2 linked regions of the Cricetulus griseus genome follow. The protein of the gene in region 2 purifies or fractionates together with the protein of the main gene of each other region. This does not show direct contact. Links are inferred from orthologs where the notes say so. Each region holds a gene or a part of one and is shown on either strand. Other genes may lie near its edges.

Region 1 (15,353 bases), on a different chromosome or scaffold from region 2:
ATCTCTGCTTCAGGCTTCAGGCTGCCTCCCCTGCCTGCCATGATGAAATATCTCCTCAGACTGAGCTACACAAACCCTTCCTTCCTTACACTGCTTTGTCAAGTATTTAATCACACCCAGGAGAAAAGTAACTGTCCTGGATCCTCAATAATCCAATGAGGCCGGATTACAATACACACGGAAACTGAGGTATAAAGATTTGAAATAACTAGTCAAAATCAGTCCCCCTGGGAAGTCTCAGCTGTTGTGTGGACCAGGCTTTTTCTTTTTGGGCCACCAACTGGCTCCCAAATCATGACATTGTGACTTACTAGCTTTGAATGCTTGGCCTAGCTTAGGCTCATTTCTGGCTAGCTCTTTTAACTTAATCTGTTTCTCTTTGTCTCCCTTTTGCCTTGGGGCTTATTACCTTCTTTCTGTATATCTTACTTTCACTGCTTCTTGTGGCTGGTGGCTCCCTCGTTTTCTCCTCCTCCTTCTCTAATGACTAGATTTCTCCTCTTATTTATTCTTTCTGCCTGCCAGCCCTGCCTAGCCTTTCTCCTGCCTAGCTATTGGCTGCTCAGTTTATTAGATCAATCAGGTGTCTTGGGCAGGCAAGGTGAAACAGATACATCTTTACAAATTAAACAAATGCAACATAAACAAAAGTAACACTTTTTTTGAAATTATTTAAATTCTTTTGTATTTATTAAGACTTTATGACCTAGAATGTGGTCTGTTTTTTTTAAAAGATTTTATTTATTTATTATGTATACAACATTCTGCTTCCATGTATATCTGCACACCAGAAGAGGGCACCAGATCTCATAACGGATGGTTGTGAGCCACCATGTGGTTGCTGGGAATTGAACTCAGGACCTATGGAAGAGCAGTCGGTGCTCTTAACCTCTGAGCTATCTCTCCAGCCCAAGTAACACACTTTTACAGTTGAAGTAATATTCCACTGCATAAATAAATATAACATCTTTACATAGTTAAAATAATATACCACAACAATTATGAATGTCAAAATACAGAAAAATCACTGAGTGGTGGCGGCCCACGCCTTTAATCCCAGCACTTGGGAGGCAGAGGCAGGCGGATTTCTGTGAGTTTGATAACAGCCTGGTCTACAGAGCTAGTTCCAGGACAGCCTCCAAAGCCACAGAGAAACTCTGTCTGGAAAAACCAAAACAGAATCTTTTCCCTGGGGGACATACTCTGCTGAACAAAACCTACCCATGAGAGAATGGGATGGTATGACTGTTGTGTGATTCAAGGCTTCAAGGCAGGAGGATCAAGACTTAGGGGCTAGTCTGAGCTACGGAACAAGTAAAAAGTGCTAAGAGTAACTTCATGCAAACATTAAGCATTTTCAGTATTTTGGTATACCATTAAATTGTTCTGTACAGGGGCTGGAGAGGTTAAGAGCACAGGCTGCCCTTCCAGAGGTCCTGAGTTCAATTCCCAGCAACCACATGGTAGCTCACAACCATCTATAAAGAGATCTGTTGCCCTCTTCTGGCATCATGATGGCAGAACACTGTACACATAATAAATAAATCTTTAACATTATCAACATGGAGTAGTTTAGAATCCAAGCATTTTGCTTTCTATTCTCTCCCCCACCCCAAAGACAGGGTTTTTATGTATGTAGCTCTGGCTGTCCACAAACTCACAGAGATCTGCCTCCCAAGTGCTGGGATTGAAGCTGTGTACCACCAACGCCCAGCACGGTGCTACTTTCTTTATATTCCAATCTATAACCTTTTTCTTGGTTTAACAGTCTCTCTATATAGTCCATGCTTGTGATCCTCCTGCGTCAGCCTCCCAGTTGCTGTGGCTATAGGTACGTGCCATCACACACAATTTTCTTAAACATTATCTACACATGGTCTTACTGAACACAGAAGACTCGCCATTTTCATGTCAGAACCACAGGATTATTTCTTCTTCAAAAATAACTTAAAAAAAATGACAAAGCCTGGGCATTGGTGGCACACACCTTTAATGCCAGCACTTGGGAGGCAGAGGCAGATAGATCTCTGGAGTTTAGTCTGGTCTAGAGCTAGGACCTGATTAGCTAGGGTTGCACAGAGAAACCCTGTCTTGAAAAACAAAGACAAAGCATTTCTACCCCTTTTTCAAATAAAAAAAATAAAGACAACTTTAAATTTGTTATTTAGGCCTAAAAGCCTGTCAAGGGAGTTTTACCAGCTCAGGGCTCTTAGTATTAGCTGGAGTTGTTCACTGTCTGAACTTCACAGAGAGCAACAGGAGGATGGCAGTCACTTGGGCAGATAGAAAGTACAAGGTCTTGGATTCAATTCCCAGCACAAAGTGAACCTTACCTTTTAAAGAAATTCTTTCATTCCTGTGCCATTAGGGTGTCTCTGTGAGGCTGTGGCAGCAAAATGCAAGCAGCCCCATCTGCCAAACACCCAAGATTCTTCCAAGGAAGTCAGTCCTGCCTCCAGAGTTTTAGAAACTGAACTTTTGAGACTGAACAAGTTGAGTGCAGGGATTCGGAGGCTTATGATGTTGAGATGGTACCATGGGATACACAGGCCAATACCTCAGACTTTATTTACCACCCTACAGTACAAAACTTTACAATGACTTCAGCCAAAGAACCTAACCACTATTTATATTTTTTTGTAGTTTTAAATGTCTACTAATATGCAATTAAAGACATTAAATATCATTTAATCATTTGGAGAGAAAATACTGCTTGGTTTTGGACTAACAACTAAAATGCCTCACCATGTTTTTTTCTGGTAGAACAGTATGTACGGGAACTCTTGGCTGGCTGTGTAGATGAGTGGTAAGAGGCCAGCATGGGCCTAGGAGCTGAACTTTGTCTCAGTCCCTCCTCCTCTCTACCCTCAGATGCTGATGTGTAGCATAAATAGGGCTTTGTTAAGAGTTTTGCTGGGTGAACACCAAGTCATTACCATCATCCTCCAGATTTTACTTACAAACTGTCAAAGTGACCTGAGTCACTCTTCTTCACACTTCATGACTCCAAGCTTTAAAAAGTGTCAAGCTGGGTAGTGGTGGCACACACCTTTAACCCCAGCACTCAGGAGGCAGAGAAAGGCAGGCAGGCGAATCTCTGTGAGTTCAAGTCTACAGGGTGAGTTCCAGGACAGCCAGAACTAGAGAAACTGTCTCAAAAAACAAGAACAAAAAGGGTCAAAAAAGCTACTAGTAGCTACTAATGACCAAAAATGTGTAGACTTCTAATACCTAGAAATTTTAGAAAAATTTTACCCATTCTTTTTCAGGGGCCTGCTGAAAAAAATAAAGTCTCAGAGAAACCAGAGCCAATATAAAAGAAACCATAACTCAACCAGGCATAGAGGTGCACACTTGTAACCCTAGTACAGGCAGAGGTTTGTCATAGTCTGAGGCCCACCTCCATTCACTTCCAGTCCAGCCAGGGCTCTAGTGAGACCCTATCTCAAACTGTCACCCACTGAGGAAACCCTCTGTTAACTCTGGATTTTTGTTCTAAACACATTTAAAAACTTTTTAAGAGCATGAGTGCTTGCCTTCATGTATGTGCATCCCCACATTTTATATGCAATATAGTGCCCAGAGGCTCAGATGAGGGAGGGTGCTGGTTCCTTATGAGCTGCAACATGGGTGCTAGCACCCAAATCTGGGTCCTCTGCAAGAGTAGCAAGTTCTCTTAACCACTAAACCATCTCTTCAGCCTGACTCTTTGAAGTTCCTATTTGTAACCACCACTTCAAAATAAAAAACCTTAATGGCCCAAATCACCTTTGAATGAGATTCTGTGTGTACATGTTTGTGTGTACGGTGTGTCCACAGGCCAGAGGCTAATGACTCATCTTCTCCCACTGTTCTCATCTTACCTTTTTGAGACAGGGTCTCTCACTGAACTCAGGAGCTCATCAATTTGGCTGCTAGCTGGCTAGCAAGCCCCCAAGGATCCACCTACCAGTGTCCACCTCCCAAGTACCAGGGCTGGGCTGCCACACCCAGGTTTTCACAAGAGTTCTAGGAACAGAAGAAGTCTGTTCTCAGGCTCGCACAGCAAGCACTCTGCACACTGAGACATCTTACCAGTCTCATTGGATGAGTTTGATAAAATTTAAGTGTTGTGTATTTCCAAGTAATTAAGTTTTAATGCCAAATAAAGAGTGTATCAATGTTTTCAATTTACTTAACAAATAAGTTTAAGGGCATAGATAAAAATTTAATAACCCAAAACAAAATATTTCATTTATTAAGATATTGTATAATAAATGCCAGTGTTGTGCTGGTGTTTTTCCACTAATATTTTGATTAAAATACACAACACAAACTTACAGAAAATACCTCTTTAAGTGATTGAACTGGGTGCACACCTGTAATCCCAGCACTTTGGAGGCAGAGGCAGATGGAGTTCTGTGAGTCTGAAGCCAGCCTGGTCTACACAGTAAGTTTCAGGACAGCCAGAGCTGTAACACAGAGAAACCCAGCCTCGAGGGAAAACAAACAAGAAACCCTAAGTGATTGAAAAGTGAGGCAAGTGCAGATCCAAGCTTCCTTGATGAGTCAAAGATGGAGAACTTAGGAGACAAAGGCCCATTTACTGAAAGTTACATTTTATTTATATTCTTCACTGATCTAAAATCAAAATCGCCACTTACAGCAAATAAAGATACCATGGGCTGCCCTCTCCTAACAAAAAGTATTAGGAGCAGAGGATAGAAGTTGGATTTTCGAAATGCATTTTATTTGTTACTATAACAAAACCAATCAGACATAAACACAGAAACTCTCTTCTGTAAAGTAGATGCAATGCTCTCTCTCACAGACCTTTTTTGGCATTCTCTCTTATAGCTCTTCTAAGCAGTATGTATGACACACACCACAGAGGTAGGAAAGGCCATTTTTAATAAATTATCTTTCTTGTAGACAACTTCTCAAAATTAAACTGACAAAATGCTAAGCCATGCCCTGGATGAGTCTCAAAAGACTGCACCCTTTCTATCTGAAGAACTGATCCGCTGGAGTGTTATAGCCTTCGTCCGGTCACTTGGCAGCAAGATCATCCAGGGTCACAACCACACCAGGAAAGCCTTCTACTACCTCTCATTTGCCAATTCTTTGGACCACCCAGTCCTGCTGGCAGAGAGGACAGCGATTGTTCTGTTTCACCCACAGAGACATGCAGCAGTTGTGAAAGGAATGATTACATTCTCCCCAGACCACTGGAAGAAGAATAAAAAACAACAGCTGAGTAGGTGGGTATGCAGTGCATGCCTGTAATCTGAGTACTGAGGCAGAAGTGCTGCCAGTTCTAGGTCAATGTGGTTACAAAGCAAGACCTTGTCTCAAAAATAACCAATCAATCAATTAAACAACCTCCCCCAATCAACTGACATGACATAGTTCAATTTAAATGGTTAAGCTCAGGAGGACATGCAGGTGGGAGGGGACACATGGAGGGGGAGTTCATGGGAGGGATAGGCAGGGTGAACATAATCAACATACACTGTATGAATGTATGAAATGGAAGCAAAATTTTGAAATATTCTTAAAAATTAAATTACTAAGTTCAAAATTATAGTTAAAAAAAAAAACAATAAAATAGCCATGGCTTATAATCCTGAAAAAAACTGGCTAAGTGGTCATTTTTTTTTTCTATCTACAAAAATATTTACAAGTAGAGTGAGGTTGAACTTAAGAAATATGCCACTGAATGCAGGAGAGCTCACCCTGGTGGTGAAGACGAGGGCGAGCTGGTGGGCTGACCATCCCTGCCAACTACTGAAGCCCAGAACCAGGGCTATGTGTTGGTCTACCTAATACCCATCCCGTCTATGACCTGGGTGTGTCTGTGTGTACACACACACCGGTCCTGTGGACCCGGGGCTGGAGGATCTCCATGACACAGGACAGCAATGGGATGTCCAGGAAGAATCCTAATGAGAGCCCAGCATTGATGGTATGTAGCAGAGTCCAGGGGCCTCAAACCAGACCAATTATTCTTTGGGATGAACCCTGCATGTAAAATTATAAAGTTTACTGCACGACTCACTATACCACACTGCAGCTTCCATGAGGAGATTTCCCTTTTTCCCCTCTCCTTTTTTCTAAAAAAAAATAAAAAATAAAAAAAAAATGGGGGGGAGATGGGTGGGATCAGGAGGAATGATGTGAAAGACAAATGAATGAGAAGAAAATTAAAGGAAGGAGGGAGGGAAGATAGATGGATGGACGGACGGATGGATAGATGGATGGCACTGGCTGGGTGTGGTGAAATTTGCCTTTAATCCCAGCACTTGGGAGACAGAGGCAGATGGATCTCTCTCTTGTGACAGCCAGAGCTGTTACACAGAGAAATCCTATCTCAAAAAATCAAAACAAACAAATAAAAAGTACCACTGTGTTTTGGGAGTGAAGTCACAACCCCTAGTTCCTAAACAGCTCTGCTTGTTGTGTTCTGAAGTTAGGAGATTAAAGGATTTGAGTCTGTTGTAGATCCCAGACCTCCTCAACCATGGGGTGCACTTAGGGATCATTTGTGCTTTCCTTTCTTTATAACATCCTCCTTGTTTTTATTTACCAAGATACAACATTTTATAAGCTCTCAGCTTATAGGGGCTGTTATGAACAGATAGTAGGCATGGAAGCATCATCAGATATTGATGGCACATCTACTGAGCTGTTTTTCTAGAAGTGATGAATTATGCTTCCAGCTGGGTGTGGTCCTGAAGTCCCAACACAGGGAATGGATCAGTGAAAGGCCAGACTTGACTATATAGCAAGTGTCAAGTCAGGACCACACATGGAAACCAAAACCCAAAAGCAGTCAACCAATCCAAAAGTTACCATGCCAGCAGGCAGTGCAGCTCCTCACCTGACAGCTGGATTTGCAGAGTGGCTGGAGAGGCATCCCCTTGTGATCAGGGTTCTTTGCTGAGATAGGGCCTTGCTATACAGCCCAGGCTGGCCTGGAATTCACTATGTAGGCTATGGTAATTGCCCTGTTTCAGGCTTGCAAGGTGCTGGGATTACAGATGTAGGCAACATGCTCAAGTCTTGAAATCTGTCTTTCTTTCTTTTTTCCCTCCCTTCTGTGCTACTTCCTCCTTTTCTTTTTGTTTTTGAGACAGGGTCTCACTCCACAGCCATGACTTGCCTGGAATTCAATAAGATAGAACAGGCTGGTGTCCAACTTGCAGTGACCTTCCTGCAATCCACTGGGAATACAGGTGTGTGCCACCACTCCTGGCCCTGTGGTTTTCTTAGCAGAAAATGTATTTCTTTCTGCTTAGTAAATTGATCTCATTTAAGTTTTTTGGGAACTAAAACATTTATTAGAAAGATGGGTGAATTCTTTCCCTTTTAGTTTTAATTCTGATTTTGTTTTTATTTCTAATTGAGTGTATAGGATAGGGCATGCATGCCACAGCTTCCCATGGAGGTCAGAGGACCTCTGTGGAGTCAGCTCTCTTCATTTTTAAGTGGGTTCTAGAGATCAAATTTAGGTCATCAGGTCTAAGAGTCAAGGACCTTTACCCTCGAGCCATCTTACCAGCCTCTAAAATGTCTGAGTATGTGTAATAATAATTAATTACTGCTTTATGGTTTTTTATGTACTGACAAAGCCATTTCTTTCTTTTCTTTTTTGGAAAACAGATCTCACTACATAGCGAAAGCTGGCCTCAGCCTTCCCAGTTCTGGGTTTACAGGCCTGGGTTATCGAGGCCAGTTTAATAAAGTCAATTTTAATTCTAAATTCAAATATTCCCACAGAGATGGAAGAAAACCTCCAATTGAAAAGGCAGGAGGAAGAATTACCACATACCAACACAGTCCTCTTGTTTGTTTTCGGCTTGACATCTGAGGCAGGCATCTAAAAGCAAACAAAGCAAATCTCATCTGAGGTACAGGAGGCAACACTGGAAACCCAGATCTTCAAAGTCAAACAAAAGCCCCGAGGATCAGAGATGAAGATAAGAGTCTCGTATTATTAGTTTCTCATCTAAAAATAACTACTTAAAGAGAAATAAAATACATGGCATTCTACTAATTCACTTATGACCAATGTTTCACAAGGGCTAATGATGATTTTTACAAGTTCATATGTCAGGATAGTTTGGCAGTGGCATTAGAGAAAGTCACTCAAAGATGCCAACTATACCATAACAAATTATTGTAAGCTCACCAGCTTGCTCACTCACACAGACCAACCGTTAGACACAATTGTGATTATACTCATTCATTATTTGTTCATACACACATAAAGATCTAGAATCCGCTGAGGAATCAATAAAGGTTTTTGTTTTGGAGATAGGGTCTCACACAGCCCCTGCTAGCCCTAACCTGAACTGCCACACTGCAGACGATGACCTTAAAATCCTGCCTCTACTCAAAGTTTGGGATTACAGGCATGTGCCGGTTTTTTTTTTTTCTTTTCTTTTTTCTTTTTTTTTTTGTAAGCAAAATTCCTTTCCTTTGTTTTGAGACTGGGTTTCATGTTGCTCAGGCTGGCCTCAAACTATGTAGCCTAGGAAGGCCCGAACCCCCAATCCTCAATGTATTCACACAATGCCAAAGTACTTAAATAAATTACTTAAGTGTAAACACTAGAAATGGAAACCTAAGAGTATGCTACAAGTTTCTAAAATTCAATCTGTACAATACTTTAGGGACCAATGAAACTGATTCATTCTTTAAATGTATAAGCAGTGCAAATCAGGTAAAAGGAGGCTCACACTGACAGAAAAGGCTTGTTTTTAATTATGTATGTGTGCCTAAATGTGGGTATATACATGCAAGTGCCCTTGAGGTTCTGGATACCGATGGAGCTGGAGTTACTAGCAGTTTGTGAGTTGCACAACTTTGGTGCTAAGTATGTTAAGAGCAGTATGTGCTCTTCACCACTGAGCCATTTCTCCAGATCCAGAAAGAAAGAGGCCGAGGCAGGAGGACCCCTGTGAGTTCACAACTAGCTTTGTTACAATGTGTTGCTAGTACCAGGGCTAGAGGCATTCAAAAGGTTAAAAAAAATAATAATAAAAATAAACATCTAGTGTGGATTGAAACTACTCCCTCCCTCTTCTCACACTGGCTCAAGCACATGACACACCTGTGCCTGGCTCCAGCTCTGGTGGTCTCTGAACTCTAATGCTAGAATTGTCGAAGGCAGAGATCCTGCCTCACCTCCCGAGTGGTGGGACTAAAGGCCCGCACCACCAACTCCCAGTTAATAGTTTATGTGTATGCATGTTGTGCCTGCCTGTGTGTCTGTGTACCATGTTTATGCAATGCCCACAGAGAAGGGCCTCAGGTCTCTAAGACTGGCATTACAAATGGTTGTGAGCCACCATGTGGGTGCTGGGAATTAAACTCAAGTCCAATTCCCTGGAATTGGAAGAGCAGTCAATGCTCTTAACCACTGAGCCATCTCTGCAGCCCACAGCAATTTAATAAACTCTCACATAATTTATGTTACTTGCATACATTTATGCACCGTATGTGTCTAGTGCCCTCTGAAGCCAGAATAGTGTTGGATAAACTGGAACTGAAGTTACAGAGGGTTGTGAACTGCCATGTGGGTGTGGGAAATCTGTATGGACAATCTTCACTCTTCGGAAACATCTCTCCAGCCCCTGGTTTTTTGTTTTTTTGTTTTTGCTGGAAGCTGGTCTCAAACTCTCCTGCTTCGGCCTCCAGAGCATTACAGGTGTTAACCGACACTTTGGAAACCTATGTTAAGCTGGGATGCAGCTCAGTTGGTAGTTTGCCTAGCCTGAAGGAATTCAATCCCCATCATGCCACAGACATTTCTACAAATTTCATCGCTTGGGAGGAAGCAGGAAGATCTGGAGTCCAAGGCCACCCTGGACTATACAAGACTGAATGAGTCTAAAAGAGAAATAAATAAGAGCTGCGATGGTGGCACACGCCTTTGATCCCAGCACTAGAAACGCAGAGGCAGGCGGTTATCTGAGTTTGAGACCAGCCTGGTCAGCACAGAGAAACCCTGTCAACAACCACCAGGCCCCCCCCCCCCCAAGAGAAACTGACAGAAACAGGGTTCTTTTCAAGGTGGGCTGAGCTCTTAAACTATGTAAAACTCAACGAGATTACGATTTTTTGATACGTTTCATTTGGTCCAACATTTTCGTTCAAAATACTAAAATGTTGGACTACTAATGAGGCCAGGCGTTGGTGGTGCACACCTTGGGAGGCAGAGGCAGGAGGATCTCTGTGAGTTCAAGGTCAGCCTGGTCTACAGAGCAAGTTCCAGGACAGCCTCCAAAATAATACAGAGGATCCCTGTCTCGAAAAAACAGGCAAACAAAAAAATGGACTACTAATGAAAGAAGGTTCTTCGAAAGGGCACAAAAGGGTGGGAAGGGGACATAATTAAGTTTCATGTTTCTGAATCAAGCAAAGGCTTTTCTATCCTTGGATTCCCATAAATCTAAAATACTCTTTTGTCCCTCGCCTCAAGACATGCGAGCTCTATCTGACTCGGTCAATGTAAATTTTAAAAGCCAGCCAAATAGCTGCAGAGAACCCATACAAATGGCTGCGCATCATTTCGGTGGCGACAGAGCCATGAAACAAGATCCGCACGGTGGCGCAGGCTCGTCATCTCCAGAATTTGGAAGGTGCGGGCAGGGGCACCAGGAGTTCAGGGCCAACCTCGGCTAAATGGGCAAGTTCCAAGCCAGCCTGGGAAACATGAGCGTCTCTCCCCCCCAAAATCATTAACTAATCAATTAATTAGTTAATTAATTAAATGAACGCTTAGATCCACGAGAGGGCTCGGCTGTGAGGTCTGCGGGCCGCTGGGCTACCAACACAACCCCGGAGGTTCCCACGGGTTCCGAGAGACGGTCCAGCTGTCTCCTCGGCCACGCCCCCCGCCCCTCCCCGCAGGACTCACCCAGCGCGGGCAGCTCGCCCCCCCCCCCCCCCGTCGCCCGCGAAGCTCGCCCAGCAGGCCGCGTCACGGCCCCGGCCTCGCGTGCAGCGCTTTGCTTACCCATCACCTGGACCCTGCAAATGGCGCAGGTATCGCACTCAACGTCCCAGCTCCACATGGCTACCGCGTTCCACTTCTTGAGGGAGAACATCTTGTCGCCCCCCGACTTGGAGCCCGCAGTCCCGCTGTGTGAGGACAAGACGCAGGTTTCCTCGCCCTCCTCCACGTCGGCCATGGCGGCGGCGCAGAACGGCGACGCGGACGTTGGGCGCTGAGGCGGGAGGTATGGCGGCTCACTAGGGCCCAAATGCACGCCACAGCGCCTCCCGCAGGTCCCGCCGCGCAGCCAGAGGAAGGCGGCGCTGATGGCCTGGCGCGGCCCGCTGACGTCACGCGGGAGGGGCGGGGCCTGCTGATCGTCCGTGGTGGCCTCGGGCGTTTACTGCAGAGCTGGCAGAGGACAGTGAGAGAGCCTTGCCCTGCGTCCTTCTTTACCAAACCCGGAGCTCTCGGAAATCACCTTGTTTCTGCCTTCATTAGACTCCTCTCTCCGAAATGTGAACTATCAGAGTAGGGAGAAAAGGCTCTTCCATCACCGTAACCTCCATATCTTACAAAAAGCCTGGCCACAGGAGGTGTGTGTGACTTGGTACAAGTCACGACTTTAGAGATCCAGGAATCCGGTTCAGTGGGTCTCAATTTGGGCATGGGAGTCTTGGATTTCTATTTCTTTCTTTTTCTTTCCTTCCTTCCATTTTCTTCTCTTTATCTTCCTTCTGCTTTTTTATTTATTTATTTTTAATAAGGTTTTTCTCACTATGTAACCCTGGCTGGCCTGGAACTCTCTGAAGACTAGGTTGGACTTGAACTCACAGACTCATTTGTCTCTGCCTCCGGAGTGTTGGGATTAAGGGTGTGTACCCCTATGCCCCGCATCTTGGATTTCTTTATTTCTTTATTTCTTTATTTGTTGGATTTCTTTACACTTCAAATTTATTAGGACCTTAACTTTTTCGTCATGGTTTTGTTTATTGTTGCCTTGTTTTGGTTTTCCCACACAGGGCCTCTCTGTGTAGTCCTGGCCATCCTGGAACTAGCTGTGTAGACCAGGCTGGCCTAGAACTCAGAGAGTTCCGACAGCCTCTGCCTCCCAAACCTGGGACTAAAGGTGTGGGCCACCACCCCGGGCTTTTGTTTGTTGTTTTGAGACAGGGTCTCACTATGTAGCTCCACCTGGTCTGGAACTCACAGTTTAAACCAGGCTGGCTTTGTATTCACAGAGGTCCATCTGCCTCTGCTGCTCAGATTAAAAGTGTGCACCACCAGCCGTGGGTATTGGGATCTGCAAAGGCTTTTGTTTATGGAAAAGATAGCTGAAATCCAAATCCGTTTATTTGCTTGCTTTGAGGCAGTTTCATCTTTTAAACCAAGTTGGCCTAGGACTCATTATGTAGCCTGAATGGTACTTCCATCATGGAGTCAGTTGTGCTAAGGTCTTGGGGGCCCTCTTACAATTAAGATTAACCTCATGCCTTAGAGTCACTTGGTCTCAAAGCTCAGGGAGGGTTATAGTGTTTTTAAATGCAAAAATCACAAAGACCATAATTCACATGACAAAGTAACCTTGAAACATTCATTCCTGGCAGAAGTTTACTTCAGACACAACACAAAAATTATTTTTGACTTAGATCTTCTTCAATTATTCTAGTTTATGTCAATTATTTTGGTTAACACATCTGGACCATGGGCAAGGCCATGGAAATTCAAGTGTGTCAGCAGGGTAGATGTGACCATTGTGGGAGTGGGTTTGGGTAGAGGGCTGAGAACTGTCTAAGGGAATACAGTCAGGACAGGATGGCATTACTATGATCACTTCTCCTCCTCTGTAGGAGAGTCTTTGTTCCAAACATTGAAAAGATGCTTGGGTTTGCTTCAGAGACTTCCCTTTAATGCAAACACGTTTAAGCCCTTCGGGAAGAATCTTATTCCCATCACAAGTGAATGTTTCCATTGTTTATTTCTTTGGTCCTCATTTTCTCATTCCTTCATGCCATTCATCTTTATGAAAACAGTCTTTCCTGTGGTTAAAGAGGAAACACTCTCCAAGCCCTCTTAAATTCAGTTCTTGTTGGCTTGTGAGTCACACAGACAAGAAGGCTAGCAAGAGAAAAGGCGGGTTTTTATTTGTATAAGTAGAATTCACAGAAAAGACAAAAGGCAGTCTAGATTTAGAGTTTGTATACCAGCTGTATAAGGAAAAGGAAGGTTAAGAAAAGGTGAAGGGGGGATGTCTTAGTTTGCTTTGAAAACCATGATCAAAAGCAACTTTGGGAGGAACTGGTTCATACATCTAGATTACAGTCCATCACCGAGGGAACTCAGGTTGGGAAGGAACCTGGAGGCAGCAACTGAGGCAGGGACCATGGAGGAATGCTGCTTACTGGCGAGAGCCCTTGGTTTAGTTATTCAAGTTAGGACCACCTGCCCAGATCCACCACCACCCTCAGTGGCCTGGGCTCTCCCATACCAATAGTTAGTCAAGAAAATGCCCCCACAGACTTGCCTACAATCAATGGAGGCATTTTCTCAATTGAGGTTCCCTCCTCCAAGATGACCCTTGTGTCAAATTGACAAAAAACTAACCACCACAGGGTGCTATAGGAAATTTAAGATAAATGGAACCCCATAAATCTATTACCTCATTTTCCAAAGAAAATTTGAAACAGAAACTGGTGGAGGAAAATGGGTTTATTTACAGTTTGGCCAAACGGGGCGAGAACAACTCCTGTTTTTTTTCTCTGTCCATTCTGTAGCAGTGCTATAGTTCTGAACTTGATGAAGCAGAGGTCAGGAAATGTGAAGAACGGTGACTCAATGAGTCCTGTGAAGCTTCCTGTGCTGGAGCCTCCTCCACTGGCACCAGGCAATTCCATCACCCATGCCCTGGGCCAATTTTAATTCTGTTTTTTTTCCTATGGGGACTTGCGGTTCAGAAAGGGTCTTGGTGTGTAGCCCTGCTTGGCCTGGACTCACTATAGGTGAGGCTTGCTTTGGACTTGCAACAATCCTCCTGCCTCTCCAGTGTTGGGATTACAGGCCTATACCACCACACTAGGTTTGAAAAGCTTTAGGGCCTATGATTTTAGGTCTGTTTCAACAGTCCTTAGCCTACTACACTTTCACAACCAACCACTTTTGCATTTTCCCATTCATCAGTTTTGCAGATGCTCATTCCTCCACTTCTTGATGTTATCAGCCCTCAATCAAGTTGGTGCCCAGCACAAGGGGACCCCACCATCTTGACATGGATAGGCTCATCACAGTTGGATATTACTGAGAAAGTTGGGCATGGTAGCTTTTTCCTCGTCTTAGGCCATTTCAGATAAGGGGGTATCCAGCAGCAATGACCTCCTTAGTCATGATGCTACCAGTGAAACCTTGGTGATTTAGTGGCATCAGGGACAGAATGAAACCCATAATTTAGAAACTGATTTATGCCAGGCAGTGGTGATGGTGCTCGCCTTTAATCCCAGCACTCAGGAGGCAGAGGCAGGTGGATTGTTGTGAATTCGAGGCCAGCCTGGTCTATAGAGCTAGTTCCAGGACAGCCAGGGCTACACAGAGAAACCCTGACTCGTAAAACTAAAAAGAGAAAAGAAGCTGATTTATGTGACAGGATAGGCATTGCTAAGTGGCCTTAATGAATTTTAGAACCTGAAAAGGGGATTGATGGCAACAAAAAATGTTTGAGCACACTGAGCAGTGTCTTTCTAGATAGTCTGTCTGACCATGGAGATAGGTGACATCCATTTGGAAAAATGGCATCTGCATTCAATTTTTTACCTGTGAAATAATGGATAGGAAATCATGAGTTAAGAAAATAATAAAGGCTGGGCATGGTGGATCCAACCTTTAACTCTAGAACTTGTGGGGGCAGAGGCAGACGACCTCTGTGAGCTTGAGGTCAGCCTGCTCTACATAGTGAGTTCCAGGCCAGCTAGGACTATATAGTGAGTGCCTGTCTTAAAATTAATTAATTAAAACAATTTTTTATTGTTTGTAGAGACAGGGCTTCTCTGTGTAGACTTAGGTGTCCTGGAACTTGCTCTTGTAGACCAGGCTGGCCTTGAATTCACAGAGATCCACCTGCCTTTGCCTTCCGAGTGCTGGGATTAAAGGGGTGCACCACCACCACCTGGATAATTAAAATAAATTTAAAAATAAAAGAGACAACAGGTAGTTTACTTACTGAAGACATGCTTTCTTCCACCTTGGCTGGGTCTCCTATAGCCAGGCTAGCCTCAAACTTGCTATGTTAGCTGAGACTGGCTTTGAATTCCTGATTCTTCCGTCTCCATCTCCCAAAGGCTTTAACTACAGGTGTGCACAAAACACCCAGAAAATACTCCTC
Region 2 (14,789 bases):
AGTCGTGCACCCCCACTTCCCAGCTACTACAGCTAAGTAAGTATGGCTGCTGGGATTAAAGGTGTGTACCACCACTGCCTGGCCTCTATGGCTGTGGCTAGCTTTGCATTCTGACCCCTAGGCAAGTTTTATTAGATCATAAATATCACCACAATGGCTGTCATATCTCTACCAGCTCTTATGGGAGACTCAGTATAGTGAAAACAAAATGAAACATTGACCTGAGTCGAGTTCCCTGTGTATGCTAGTTTACTTTCTTCTACCTCAGGGACTGAACCCTGAGAAATGGCTTAAAGGAGAAAGGATTTATTCAGGTCCACAGTCTCAGAGGCTTCAGTCCATCATTATAGATCCAAGGCACAACAGAATACCTCGGTGATGGGAACACGTGACTTAGGTGGCTGCTTGCCTCGCAGTAGCCAGGAAGCAATGCAAGAGCGAGAAAAGAGCTGTACCGGCTGGTTTTCTGTGACAACTAATGCAAGCTAGAGTCATCGGAGAGGGAGGAGCCTCAGTTGAGGAAATGCTTCCATGAGGTCCAGCTGTAAGGCATTTTCTCAATGATTTATGGGGAGGGCCCAGCCCATGATGGGTGGTGTCATCCCTGGGCTGGTAGTCATGATTTTATAAGGAAGCAGGCTGAGCAGGTCATGAGGAGCAAGCCAGTAAGCAGCTCTCCTCCGTGGCCTCTGCATCAGCTCCTGCCTCCAGGTTCCTGCCCTGTTAAAGTTCCTATCCTGACTTCCCCCAGTGATGGACTATGATCTGGAAGTGTAAGCCAAATAAACCCTTTCCTCCCCAACTTGATTTTTGGTCATGGGGTTTCTTCACAGCAATAGAAACCCTAACTAAGACAAGGGCCAACGACCCATTCCTGTCAATTGGGTCTCAGGTCCTTATTTCCACCACCTCCCTGCAATGCCATCAGGCCTCATCTCGTTTCTGTTGCTATGATTAAAATATTCTGACAAAAGAAACTTAGAAGAAAAAGGTGGTTCACTCCAGCTTTCAAGCCCAGGTTCTAATCCAGCTCTGTGGGGGAAGTCACAGCAGCAGGAACCTGAGACATCTGGTCACATCACAATTGTGGTTAAGAGTGGAGAGAAATGAATGCTTGTGTGTGCTTGCTTTTGCCCATCTGGATTTCACTATTATACAGTTTGGGAGCTCTTGCTTAGGTAATGGTGCCACCCACAGTGGGCTGAGTCTTCATACATCAATTTGACTTAATTAAGACAACACCCACAGACGTACCCAGAGACCAACCCAATTTAGGCAACCTCATTGAGATTCTCTTCCCAGGTGACTCCAGGCTGTGTCAAGTTGACAAAGTTACCTGTCACATCATCCAATTTTGAACCAGTCAGTGGATCAAATCCAAGGATGAGAACAGAGACCTTTTGATCCAACCACTTCCCCAAGCCACAGCCCTGAACACTACTGTACTGGAGACAAGCCTTTAACACATGAGCTTTTGAGGGACACTGTGCTCTAGAATGAAACAGCTAAGCATTTTACACTGGCTCTTGAGACAGGGTCTGCTCTCCTGCCATTATACAGGTGGGAAAACTAAGACACAGAGAAAATAGAGAAAATGAACTTGTCTCCAGGTCACACAGCAAGTAGCATGTAGGTGTGAATCCCTGTCTGACCTTCTGTACACACCCTTTTGGGTATCTTCTGGGCTGCTGGGTCCCAAGAGGACTGTGGGTTACATAGTCCTTTTATGAGAAGCCAGCAAGGTGAGGTAGAAGGCCACATGCCTTGGCTTCTCAGACTGGCTTTCCAGTTCCCTTGCTTGCCCAGGAATCTCGTGTCCAACCCCTCTGAGACCCCCGTGGTCTTTCAGCCTGACTCCTGCCACCGACCACATCTCACATCCTCCCCAGTGAAGAATGTCACCTTGCTTCATATCTGCGCCCTTGTGGTTGGCTGGGGAGGGGGGCGGTGGGGGCGGGGGTGAGGTTAACCTCATTGTTGTCTTATATGGTCATTTAAATCTCTAAGGGCTTCCTCCAAGGGCCAAAAATAATCCAGAGACACAGCAGCTGTGTCCAGCACACAGAGAGGACCCGGCCATCTGCTTTGGTTCAGAGCCCTGTGTCTGTCTGTCACTCAGACTCTCTCCCGGCTTGCTCTCCATCCTCCTTCCTGCCGCCAGCATGACCCGATTCTCCTATGCAGAGTACTTTTCTCTCTTTCACTCCAGTTCTGTACCCTCCAGGTCCTCTTCGCCTCCTGAGAGTCCACCATCCCGTGCACCCCTGGGCCTGTTCCAAGGGGTCATGCAGAAATACAGCAGCAGCCTGTTCAAGACCTCCCAGATGGCGTAAGTGACCCCCGCCCCAACTTGGCCCAGTCAGACTCACACCTCCAATGGGAGCATCAGAGAGAGGGGCAGACTTGTAGCCCTAGACCCCCTTCTAGCTGTGTCCTTTAGAGTCCAGCACTCCCACCAGGCTGGACACAGGATTGATGCCTGCTAGGAGTTGCATTCTGTCTCTGCTCAGGACTGACCCCTAAGATATCCCCAGAGATTGTGACCTGCTGCTGCAGGAGCTTCCATGGGATTGAATCTGGGGCTCTAGCAAGCTCTAAGGACTAGAGGAAGGCACTAGGGGTTAGCTTCCTCTTCTCTCTATCCCTGTCTTGTGTCTCCTCACGACACCTCCAGGAGTTCATCTGTGCACATCTAAATCCCCACCCACACTTTATTTAAGTGCTGGCTGCCAAAGCCCAGAACTAATCAGAGCCAAAGGAGAGGGCTCTGCCTGGGGCACTGAGCAAATGGGGATGGTTGGGGGATGGTACTTTCCCCCTTGTTCTGAACTCCAGAGAGGCAGTTAAAAGAAAAAAAAAAATCCCCTTGCTGGGACCCCGTTTCTGTGTGGCAGAGAGGTGGTGGCAGCTGGCCGGTTCTCATTCTTAGCCTCTCCAAACCCTGCAGCCACCACATTATCAGTGGAGCTTTGGGGTTGACACAAAAGAAAGTTCCAGTTCTAATCTCAGTACAACTGCCCACCCCTGCATGTGTGCCCAAGTCTCCCTTTTCTGCAAGGCAGCATTGGGAATGGCAAAGTGGCCTTCCATGGCCCTGTCCAGCTTGCTACTAACTTAACATGCCGGGCAACCTCTCCCTCTTCAGGGTGGGGACTTTGTCTGAACCTGTGGGGAATCTCTCAGTGTGTGACACTGAGGGCACCAGGGTCTGTGAGCCCCAGCTGGAGAGCCCCACTCCAGCTGGAGGTTCAGAGAGATAGCATTACATAGTGGGAACCTCCCTTACCAAGGACACAGGACAAGCCAGCCCAATCCCATCCACTTCAGCAGTGGCCACATACCCCATGGGGCCCTCCCTGAGATTGATGGGGTTGATCCGGTTGCTCCTGAGTGGAACTCAAGCAGGTGGCTGTGATGGTGTTGATGGACCTCCAGGATCTAGATGGTCAGTCCCTTGTCCTTGAGTCTCTGGCTTCACCCGTATCTGCTATTAATAACCCAGAGGCTGAGTGGCAGGAGGAAGTGTCGCATGCTGGAGGAAGCAGCTGGAGAGTTTGGGTGCTGGTCCTAGAGACTCCCCCTGAGCCCATCATTGCCCTTGATCCCAGGATCCTAAATAGTCATGGTCCCTACTGACTCGGTAAGGGAAGAGATTCCGGCAAATAGACAGTCGAGTGAGGGAATGGATAAATGAACAAATTGCCTTCAACGAGCCAAACAAAGACGCTCCTTGAAATCTTTTGACATTTAGAACTTTTAAGCTGCGAAGGCTTCTAGTTTATTAATGCTTCAAGTATTGTCATTTTGCAGCAGCTGGGAGTAGGGATAATGGATTGGATGGGGAGATGGGAAGGCTGGGGTGACGGTGGAGGGAGGGACCTTGGCAGGTCCAAGCCTCTGGGAGCGCTTGCCATCATTCAGTCCTGTAGGTAGCTGTGCTTGGTACAAACCCCGGGGCCTTCTTTGGGAAAGGCTCCTAGTTACTGCAGATGCTTTCACAGTTGTTAGCCATTGTTAGCACTCTGTGCCCAAGTCCCCTTGGTAGAAATAGTCTGGGTGTGACATTAGCTTCAGCCACAGAAAGCCACAGGGCTGCAGATGACCCGCCCCAATTCCCTTGCCTCCACTGAGCCAGAGGGAGGAAGCATTGATCCCAGAACAAACTGAATACCCAAGAAGGGGGGACCCCAGAGCAGGCACTGGCTCCTGCCCTCTAGCAGGTCCTGTTTACCCTCAGCACACAGGCCACCTGGCCCTGCCTCTGCCTACAGCTGTCACTTGCTCTCACAGGGCTATGGATCCCGTACTGAAGGCCATCAAGGAAGGGGATGAAGAAGCCTTGAAGGTCATGATCCAGGATGGGAAGAATCTTGCAGAGCCCAACAAGGAGGGCTGGCTGCCGCTCCATGAGGCTGCTTACTATGGCCAGCTGGGCTGTCTGAAAGTCCTGCAGCAAGGTGAGGGCCAACTCTGTAGGGCCAGCAGGGACACAGGGCTCTCCCTTGGTGTGGGGGGCAGGCAACATATACATAGTTAAATCACTGTGTTGGGGGAGGGTGGACAAGCCCTGCCCCTGCCCCTGCCCCTGCCCTGCCCCTGCCCCTGCCTGCTGTGGTCTCTCCACAACTTTCAGACAGGAAAACCTAATTCCTAGAAACGGAACAGGGAATAGCAGAGTTCTGGGACAGCCACTGCCAACTTGTTTCAGAATGTTCCAGGGGATGATTTGGTGTGGAAAGAACCACAACTGTGCCTGTGTACTACCAAGGCTGTCCCCACCAACTGTGGGACACTGGGCCAGTTCTGCCTCATCTCCAAATCCCATCTTCCTGTTAGGACAGATTAGAATAAATGATATCAACAGGCAGGTATTGCCTTGACCATTGAATGGCTCCGACTCCCACCAGCCACACTGGGACATGCTAGCAGTGACCAAGAGGGCAAAGAAAAAAATAGAGACTCAGAGCTAGAGGCTCAACCTGGTGAGGCTTCCCAGAGGAAGTGACATTGAGTTGCATTTCTACAAGCAGGGCCATGAGGGGCAAGATGAAAGCCATCTGGGCTTGATAGATTTCAGAAGAAGCGGTTCCACCCTTGCTCAGAACTGTGAGGAAGCCAGAACATGTGTGGGTAGTGTGGCTGCCTTCCTTCTTCACAGATTTCCCGCTCTTCCCTAGCCTACCCAGGGACCATTGACCAGCGCACACTACAGGAGGAGACAGCACTATATCTGGCCACATGCAGGGAACACCTGGACTGCCTCCTGTCGCTGCTCCAGGCAGGGGCAGAGCCTGACATCTCTAACAAATCCAGGGAGACTCCACTTTACAAAGGTAAGTCCCTAGGATGGGCTTCTCATGGACCAGGAAGCCTGGAAGCCAAGTGGGCAGCTTACAGACTACTCCCAGGATTATACAGTTCTGAGGGGTCCACTGTGCAGAGGGTAATGCCCTTCCAAGACGCATGGGGACATGTTAATCCAATCTTGCATTTACACATGGGATCATCCAGTATTTCTCATGTGTCCTTCCCCAGGTCAGCATGCTGAGGGACACTGAAGCCTTGGGATGAAAAGATATGACATATGTCTGTGGGCTACACCAAGCATGAGCACTTACTCAGACCACCGGCATGTAGATCTTGGCAGGAGGAGGGATGGGATTGTGTGGAGGGGGTACCTCTTAGAGGGATGCCTGAGTTGAGTCTCACCAGGAAGGGGTTAACCAGCTGGCCAAACTTTGGGGACAGCATGGGCAAAGGCCAGAAGGCAGGAGAGACAGTGCACACCTCTGCTATGTTTATGTAAGCAAAAAAGTCACCTGACTGACTTGGGACTACCTCAAAGTTATGCCCTGACTGCACTAGCCAGGCTCAGTGTCAGTAGATGGATGATCCATCACAATAGCTGGCTCCTTTGAGGGCTGTGTGCCAGGCGAGGCACTTTCCTTAAGCCCCATATTCATCTCTACACTCGGTAAGCGTTGCTAGTGCCTCCATTTTATACATAAGGACCAAGGCAAATCTCCTGTAGGTTAGGCATTCAGCACACATAGTATTCTGTAGGAAATGAGGGCCCGAGAGAGCAGGCGTCTGAAACTGACATGGGAGTGTCTTCTATGGGACCCTTAGTGGTTACCTGGGACTTCAGCTGTCCCAAAGAGAACTGTAGGATAGGAAGCCAGCTAAATACTAGCCAGTAGCTTGGCCCTATCATGTGCCAAAGCCCCAGGCTGTGTCCTGTGTGTGGCCTCCTGTGATTCCCTCCCCCCCCCACCTCCTCCAGGAAGGCTCTGCCATGTGGTTTCCAGGGAGAGCACCAGGGCTTATGATGTGGAGAGCCGAGACCCGTTGAAACTCAATAGGCAGCTGCTCCCCTGTGTCCGGCCTCCTCCCCAGGGAGGTTTGTAGAGCTGTTAATTGGCTCATATGCCTTGGTGACTCTAATGCCTTCTATGGCTCCCAGGTGAGAACTAGGGGCCAGAGCCAAGGTCACATTTAAGATCTTTTGACAGAGGAAGCAGAATGGGAGCTTTGAGGAGGATGAGAAAGATGAGTTATACTCAGAAGATAATGCTAACCCAAGTTGAATGTGCATTTTTGCTGTATAGATTCTTTCAGCCCTAGTGTCTGACATAACATTGAAAAGGATAATTAATTATGAACCCTTTAGAATATTCTAGGGGGCAGAGTCTCTGGATGTGGCTCTCTAGGTTGGAATCCCAGTTCTGACTTTTACTCCCTGTGTGACCCTGAGTAAGTCACTTACCCTCTCTGTTTCACCTTCCTCATTTACGGATGTAGGTATTGACATTGCATTCTTCAAGGGTAGTTGGGAGGAGTTAAACCAGTAAACTGCCAAATCTTCAGGGCCACCCTGACTATCTGTCTTCTGCCTGGTCCAGCCTGTGAGCGTAAGAACGCAGAGGCGGTGAGGATATTGGTGCGATACAACGCAGACACCAACCACCGCTGCAATCGGGGCTGGACTGCACTGCATGAGTCTGTCTCCCGAAATGACCTGGAGGTCATGGAGATCCTGGTGAGCGGCGGGGCCAAGGTGGAGGCCAAGAATGTCTACAGCATCACCCCCTTGTTTGTGGCTGCCCAGAGCGGGCAGCTGGAGGCCCTGAGGTTCCTGGCCAAGCATGGTGAGTTATCACAGGGTACCCTGGCAAGGACCTCAGAGGTCAGCTGGGAAGGAAAACTGTGTGTCATCTTGTGGGCATCCTCTGATCCAGGGCCTTGCAGGGCTTTTCAGAGGATCCTGAGGCTGTGTTTAGGCTCAGTGGAGCTGCTGTGAGGAGATGCTGGTGTGCTCGCCGTTACACACAAGCCTTGTACCATCTCTGGTCCAGAGCAACATCCTCCTTTCGCAAAAGAGGAATCTGAGGCCTGGAAAGAGGAAGTGACTTATCTACAGAATTAGCTGAAGGACTATCTAGATTCTTGGGCTCTTGATGCCCCAACCACGGTTCTTTCTGCTACGTCACACTGTTGGGCCGGAAGACCTCAGATGTAGATCACATCCTTGTTTTGCAGGTGATTCAAACAAAGGACCAGGGTGAGAAAGTGATTTGTCCAAGATCACACAGTAAGTTCGTGATAGACATGGGGTCTGAACCCAGGTCTCTGCCCTAATTTCCCATGAAAAGAAATCTTAACTGGAGAAACTAAAACAGTACCGTTTGTGCCATGGTGTCCCAGTAGCAAAGACGGAAAGACCACACCTAAAAAAGCTTTGTATTTTGACAACTCCCCGAACTCCCCTTGGATTTCTTTTCATTCTCAATGGAAGGAAGATTCCCTTTGAACACTGGGGAGGTTGAGGCTATGCAGACCTTGGAGCTGTGCCACAAGAAATGGTTGAGCACCTTCTGTGTGTCAGACCTCCTGCTAAGCATGGACCTGTGATGGGTAGAGTGTGAGCTGGGCATCGTCCTAGCTCCTCTATAAACACGAGGAGACTGAGGCTCGAGAGGCTAAGTGACAGCTCATAATGAGAGCCTGGAGTCCAGCTTGTGTTTGCACATGGCCAGCGTCTCAGCCTAGAAGAATGACCCTGGGCCTTCGTTGGGACAAGAGGCCACATCCATAGTGTGTCGGGACAGACTGAGGCTCTTAGCCAGGCATAAATCTGCAATGAACACTCTGAGAACACAGAGGCCAAGGTGGAGTCCTGGAGCCCAGGCCAGCAGGCCATGCTGAGGGCAAGAGCACAGTGGGTGAGGGGGACTCCCCTTTCTAGGCAGCTGTTCTGTCCCCTGCCGACACTGAGGCAGAGACTGCTCCCTTCATGGGGGGGCTAAAGCCAGTTCCTACACAAATATTTTCCCTGTTTGATCAGGCTGCTTTGCTGACAAGCCTAGGCCTGCTGGAGAGCCTGACTCCAAGCTTGTTGAAGGTACCCCTACTCTCCCTCTGAGGGAAGGGCAGGACCAGGCTCTGTCCTGAGCTCTGCCCAGACAGCTGGCATAGGCTGTGCAGCTTCTAAGCCTGGTACTGTGCTGATGTTATCTTCTTTACACCTTTTAGTAACCATGAGAGGGCAAGACCATGATCCTGGTCAACATACAGGTAAACTGAGGTTTCTAAAAGCTACCTAGGGCCCCAGAGCTTGGGAGTCATGAAACAAAACTTGAATGGTCCCAATGGGCCATCAAGGCTTGTGCCCTTCTCTCAGGGCCAGAGTGAGCTTCACTGCTGTTGAAAATGAAGTTATCAGAAAGGTGAGGCAAGCAGATGGCTCTGTGAGGGGAGTTGTGGTTGACACAAGCCTTTGATCTCAGCCTTCACAAAACACGTCAGCTCATATGCTTCTGTAGCAAAAGCCTAGTTTCCTTTGCATAGAAATCATGTGCACACTGGTTCTCTTTCTCACCCCCATGAGATGCAGAAGATGTAGAAGACTGAGATGGAGACAGGCTGCCACCAGGCTTTAGTCCCCTTCCTGCCAGCATGGTTCAGTGATTCCTTGCTTTTTTAAATTTATTTTTACTGTTTTTTAGTGTGTGTGTGTGTGTGTGTGTGTGTGTGTGTGTGTGTGTGTGTGTGTGTAATTACCTGCAGAGACAAGAAGAGGGTACTGTTTCCACTGGAGCTGGAGTTACAGTTGGTTGTGGCTACTATAGGAACCCAGTGTCCCCTTTAAGTGCATGATCTTCACCACTGAGCCATCTCTCCAGTTCCTCAGTGATGCTTACAAGCAGAAATGAAGCCATGTCTCTATTGTTTCTGATGGAGAACAAAACAAATCCAGGGCTCGGGATGAGGCTCCACTGGTAGAGTGCTTGCCCAGCGTGCACAAAGTCCATGGCCCATCTCCAGCATCGCAAACAACAGTGTGGTGGTGTGTGCCTGCAATCCTATCATTCTAGAGTTGGAGGCAGGATGATCAAAAGTTCAAGGTCATCCTTGGCTACATTTGGAATTCAAGGCCAGCCTGGGCTACATGAGATGATGCCTCAGACCAATCAACTGTGCCAAAATATCCATCAAATGCAAATTCAGCTAACAAAGCCAGTGGGGTTTTCCTTTGGGAGCTTTGTGCTTAGCTGGAGCTGAGGCCACCATGAGGGTACAGCCTAGGGCCCTCCACGGTAAGGGCTGAAAGCCTGGTCTCCATCCTGCGGCCATGTGAGTTCAGGTTTGGCTTTACATCCATGAGTGGATGTGTCCTAGTCTCTGATGAAAAGCCTGCCCTAAGGTAAGCTTTGACCTCCCAGGGTTCTATGTGAATTCAGAGAAATAGTGTAAGAGCGTGGCTGCGTGATAAAGAACTTACTGTAGCTTTGACCTCCCAGGGTTCCTTGTAGATTTAGATAGTATAGGCATGGCACAGCACACAGCAGTTGTTAGGTAAGAGGTGCTCACCACATGATGGCACTGAATCACTGGTCACTCGCAGCTCTGCTTCTCTCTCTCTAGGAGCAGACATCAACACGCAAGCCAGTGACAGTGCATCAGCCCTCTATGAGGCCTGCAAGAATGAGCATGAAGACGTGGTGGAGTTTCTTCTCTCACAGGGAGCTGATGCCAACAAAGCCAACAAGGACGGCCTGCTCCCACTGCATGTCGCCTCCAAGAAGGGCAACTACAGGTCAGTCCAGGCAAGGCCATCATCTTGCACAGCACAGTTCTCCAGGGATGTCCAATGAAGGCAGAGTGGGGCAGGACACCTGCTTCAGTCTGTCCTCAAGGACAGGAAGGCCAGAGGCTGGCAGGGTGAAGGATACTTTCCTTGTGGAAGGTTTCAATGACCACATGTGACAACCACCATGCTAACAAGAGTACATGATTGCATGTGTGGTCCTTCCACTGCTTTCCATAGCCAACTCATTTAATCCTCTCAAGGGCTTGCTGAGGAGGAGGCCGTGGTGACCTCTTTTTTTTAGATGAGAAGCCCTTTAAGATAAATAGAGGTTGAGTCATTGGTCTACACAGCTTGTAGGTGACAGGAATTCACCTGCTTCAAATGACCCAGCTAATCCTACTTAGGGAGCAGAGAGGAGTCTGAACTCATGACTTTTGTTGTTGTTGCTGGGGTGGGAGGGTGCAGAGATAGCCTGCAGGGCATCCTAGCAAGCAGCCAAGGATGCCTACAGCAATGCAGAGGGACCAGTCACTGGGTACTTCCCTGTACTTCATGTTCAGGTGGGAGAAGCTCAACCTCTCTGGAAGCAATTTGCAGGAGGGAAGGTGTGCATTCTCTCTCTCTCTCTCTCTCTCTCTCTCTCTCTCTCTCTCTCTCTCTCTCCCTCTCCCTCTCCCTCTCCCTCTCCCTCTCTCTCTCCCTCTCCCATGCATGTGTACCTACTCTCTATGTCTGTCTGTCTCTCTCCTTCTCCCCCTCCCTCTTTCCCTCTCCTCCCTCCCATCCCCCCCTCTCTCTCTCTCTCTCTCACACACACACACACACACACACACACACACACACACACACACACACACACACACACACGATGAAAGAGCATACAGTCCTAAGTTCCATGGTGGCCCCAGTAGAAAAGCACTGTTAAGTACCAGAGCAGAATGCACTGGAGCCAGCCTGTATCAGCCCATGCAAGCAAGCCCATTGCAGGCGTTGTCCCAGCAATGTTCACTCCATGGAGTAAGCTTCTCTCTGGAATCCCCAACATCCCACTCATCCAAGAGACAATTACTTAGAATTTTCCACTCACACATGGGTGGGGAAGGATGCTTGGCAGGTGGGATGCTGGCTGTTCCTGAGGACAGACACTTTGGTCATTTCTAAAGTGTGGCCTCATTGCCAAGCTATGGGATTCAGGTCCACAATGATGGCTCCTTTTACAGTACAAGAAACTGACACCCAGTAGCTAAAGAACCTTGTGCCTCAGTGGGCCAGCACCCAGGCCTAAGACTTAAGCCTCGGAAGTCAGATACTTTTCTATTGGCTGGGTGGTTCCCAACTGTGGACCCTGGTAAGCTTCTTTCCATTTTAGACAATTTTCATTACTTTTTCAAGATAGGATTTGTTTTGTTTTGTTTTTTTTTGAGACAGGGTTTCTCAGTAGCAGTGTGGGAGCCTGTTCTGGAACTTGCTCTGTAGACCAGGCTGGCCTCAAACTCACAGAGATCCTCTTTCTCCACCTCCCAAGTGCTGGGATTAAAGGTGTGTGCCACCACTGCCTGGCTCAAAGATGGTTTTTAAAGTACATCTTTTTTCCTAAAGTTGTTTTCAAATGAAACATTCACCACAGTGGTATAGTGGGAAGATGATTTACGGTTACTAGAAAACCCATGCCCTGTGCCTGGGTTGCCAATCTGGGAAACGCTCTAACTGCTCAGGCTGGCAGAAGAAAGCGAACAGATTATGTTTGGCATTGTCAGTAAGGTGGGGGTGTATATAGGGAAAGAGGAACGTCCACAGAAAACAAAGTAAAGGCCCAAGGAGCCTATACTGTCCCTCAGAGCCCCAGGTTTCCCTGTAAACTATCTTCATACGCAACCAGTTTCCCCGGGGGCTGCCCAGTGAAGGGTTAAAGTTGGATCTCCGGCAACCTCTGCCACCTGACTGGGCCAGGGCTCTTTGCTCACACCCTGGGCATGTGGCAATAGAAGCCCTCCCCATGCTGGCCTCCCACGGGCTAAGCAGGGATTTGATGTGACATTCCATAGGCATTCAGCCACCTGCCAAAACACTGCCTAACCAGGGCCTGGAGCTCAACGCCTGGAGCCTGAGGCCATTTGCCAGATGTGCCAATTCCACAGAACATGGGGTAAGAGTGCTTGGGCATGGCTTAGTCACCGAGGGGCACATTTTCTGTCTTCTATTCCCAGTGTGGTGCAGGGACCTTATGAACGAAAGACCAGAAGAATGGGGTAGACTTCCAAAGACCCCGGGAGCTGGACAAGAATGTGACCAAGGGCCCGGAAAGCAGGGGTTCCTGACCTCGGCTCTGCAGCCCTGATCCAGGCCCCACCTTAGCCCAGTTTATGGCACTGGGATGGCCTGGAGTAGATTGCCTGAGTTTCTACATGGTGACTGAGTGAGTTCCAGGAGCTTAGCACCTCTCCTGTGGCCAAGAGAAAACACGGGGTTGTATTTTGGAGTTCATGTCTGACCCACCATCATTAAATACCATTCTCTATACACGTGTATGATATGTGTGTGAAACACACGTCAGAGCTGACCGCGTGGTTCAGTGTGCTGGTAGCAGTGGTGGTTAGTTCCTGTGTGACAGGGTGAATGCTGACAAGGGTCAGGCCACCATGACCTTTTGACTAAGGGCTCCTCTGGCTTGGAGCAGTAGGCTAGGGCTGTGTCACTGTGCTCGGGACGCTGACTTCCAACTGCATTCTAACTTCGTACTGTGTGCTGATCAGACTAAGGCATGAGGTGTTATCTTAGCCTCCAAAGCAGGCTTGGCAAACAAGATGGTAGGTTGTGCTTTGAAATGTGGGTGCAAATCCCACCTTTCTGGGGTGTATGAAGAATAAAGGAGACAAAAGCACTAAGGTTGTGGGGTCATTTCTGATTTAAAGGAGTGACTATCAAGAGTGCTTTAAAGGGCGCCTGGCACACAGTGAACGCTTGGTGGCATAGTCATTGAGACTTTGAGGGTGAAGTGTTCCTAGCATCAGGGCCTCAGTGAGGGCTAGCTGTAGGTGTCGTTGTCATTGTCATTCAGTGTAATCTGTTGTAGGTGTGGTTTAGAGAGCTTAGTGGCATGCCTGAGATGGCCCAGCGTGGACCTGGTCACCAGGTCCATCTGGTTCTGAGCCCTGATACTCCCTTGTTGCCTATGCTGTCCCCTACACTCCACCCGACAAAGAGAGCTAACTGGAATTGAATACCTACTCACTGCTCCTGGGCGGGGTTAAGGCAAGCCATCAGCACTCACGGTGAGACTATATATGTATTATATATGTATTACATATATAACGACTATATACATTATATATTATATAACATATATATAATGTAATAAATAATACATGCTTTAGTAGTTTTCATCTTCACTAGTACCCCAGCTCTAGGGCAAGCAGAATGGGGGTTTCAATACTGAGAGGACCTGGACTGGGGTCCCAAGTCAGAGGCTGCCAAGTAGCCAGATGCTGCCCAGGGCCTCCCAGAAACAGCCCTGGGCTGGGTCTGTTTGGCTTTCTGGGATAAGTCAGGGAATCCCAACCTATTTTGGCATCACCTGCTTACTTCCTGCCCTCCATCCCACAAAATGACCTGGGGGAAAAGAGTCCTCTGCATAATGGGTTGTCCACATGGGCACTCTCCGTGGTTAGAAGTAGGAGACCAAAACCAGGCATGGTGGCATACTCCTGTGATGTCAGCACTTGGTAGGTAGAGGCAGGAGGATCAGAAATTCGAAGTCATTTGTGCCTGTGTATGAGTTTGGGGCCAGCCTGAGCCATAGAGACCTAATTACTTAATTAATAACTTACAAAGAGGCAGGCACCACAGAAAGTCCTGGCCCTGGGTATTCAGCGCCCCCACACTGCCCTGGCTTGCTGCCTGTCTTTATTCAGACACATTTGCTTCTCAACTCCAGTCCGGGGTCTCCATTTCCACCCTCTATAAAATGGCAGCACTGTCCTTTTCTCCTTCGGAGCTGGCCAGCACAGCACACCAACCCTTGACGCCTCAGTCCTAGAGAAGTAACCAGTGACCTGATGACTCACTGAGTTGCTGACTCGATGCTTCTGGGACTCGGGGCAGGGATTGTTGAGTTCCCACATTTCTGCCCCTTTCCTGGCCTGGGCAGGGAATCCTGGGAGACCAGCTGGGGCCTGCAGAGATCCCAGCCCATGGGCCAGCAGCCCAGCCCACCCCTGTCCCTGTTCTTTCCCGTGCTTGGGCGCGTCACGGCTGTTACCCTGCATTTGTTGGTCATGGCGGTGGTCCAGGGGCCCCAGCCCTGCCTTTGACCAGCACCTCTGAAGAGGAGGTCAAGCCCCTGGAGCCTGCACAAATAGAAATTAGGAGGCAATTAGCTCCCCTGAGTGTGTGAATCTCCTTCTGAGGTCTTAGAGGCAGATCTTAGCCAAAGGCAGCATCACCTATGACAACAAAGCTGTCCTTGGAGAACCCAGCAGGAGGTCGCTGGCATCTCAGTTCCAGGAAGCCAGAGGCAAGGACAGTGCCAGGAGGCAAGAGGCATGAGAACTGGCCTGGTGGCACCTGCTTTCCCCTCCCCATTCCCCAACATGGCCACCTCCTTAGAGCTCTACAGGGAGGCTGTGAGGTCACCTGTCAGCAGGGCTTCGATGAATCAGGGATTGAAATCAACAGTGTAAAGACTTGTTCTAGAAGGTGG

What was found.
Region 1: the proteins of Asb2 (region 2) and Rnf7 purify together in Homo sapiens (affinity purification with western blotting; 3 studies listed by BioGRID and IntAct, with this or other methods). This does not show direct contact. The link is inferred for Cricetulus griseus from reciprocal best matches to the Homo sapiens genes ASB2 and RNF7.

The regions. Positions count from the first base shown.
Region 1 is NC_048597.1:205,062,215-205,077,567, forward strand, and holds Rnf7 (RING-box protein 2), read right to left. Parts: upstream 11,272-15,353; 5' UTR 11,178-11,271; coding exon 11,003-11,177; intron 7,859-11,002; coding exon 7,811-7,858; intron 5,208-7,810; coding exon 5,089-5,207; 3' UTR 4,708-5,088; downstream 1-4,707. UniProt on the Homo sapiens protein: Catalytic component of multiple cullin-5-RING E3 ubiquitin-protein ligase complexes (ECS complexes), which mediate the ubiquitination and subsequent proteasomal degradation of target proteins.
Region 2 is NC_048598.1:102,745,635-102,760,423, forward strand, and holds part of Asb2 (ankyrin repeat and SOCS box protein 2), read left to right. Parts: intron 1-2,224; coding exon 2,225-2,329; intron 2,330-4,290; coding exon 4,291-4,457; intron 4,458-5,177; coding exon 5,178-5,333; intron 5,334-6,902; coding exon 6,903-7,148; intron 7,149-9,924; coding exon 9,925-10,096; intron 10,097-14,789. UniProt on the Homo sapiens protein: Substrate-recognition component of a SCF-like ECS (Elongin-Cullin-SOCS-box protein) E3 ubiquitin-protein ligase complex which mediates the ubiquitination and subsequent proteasomal degradation of target proteins.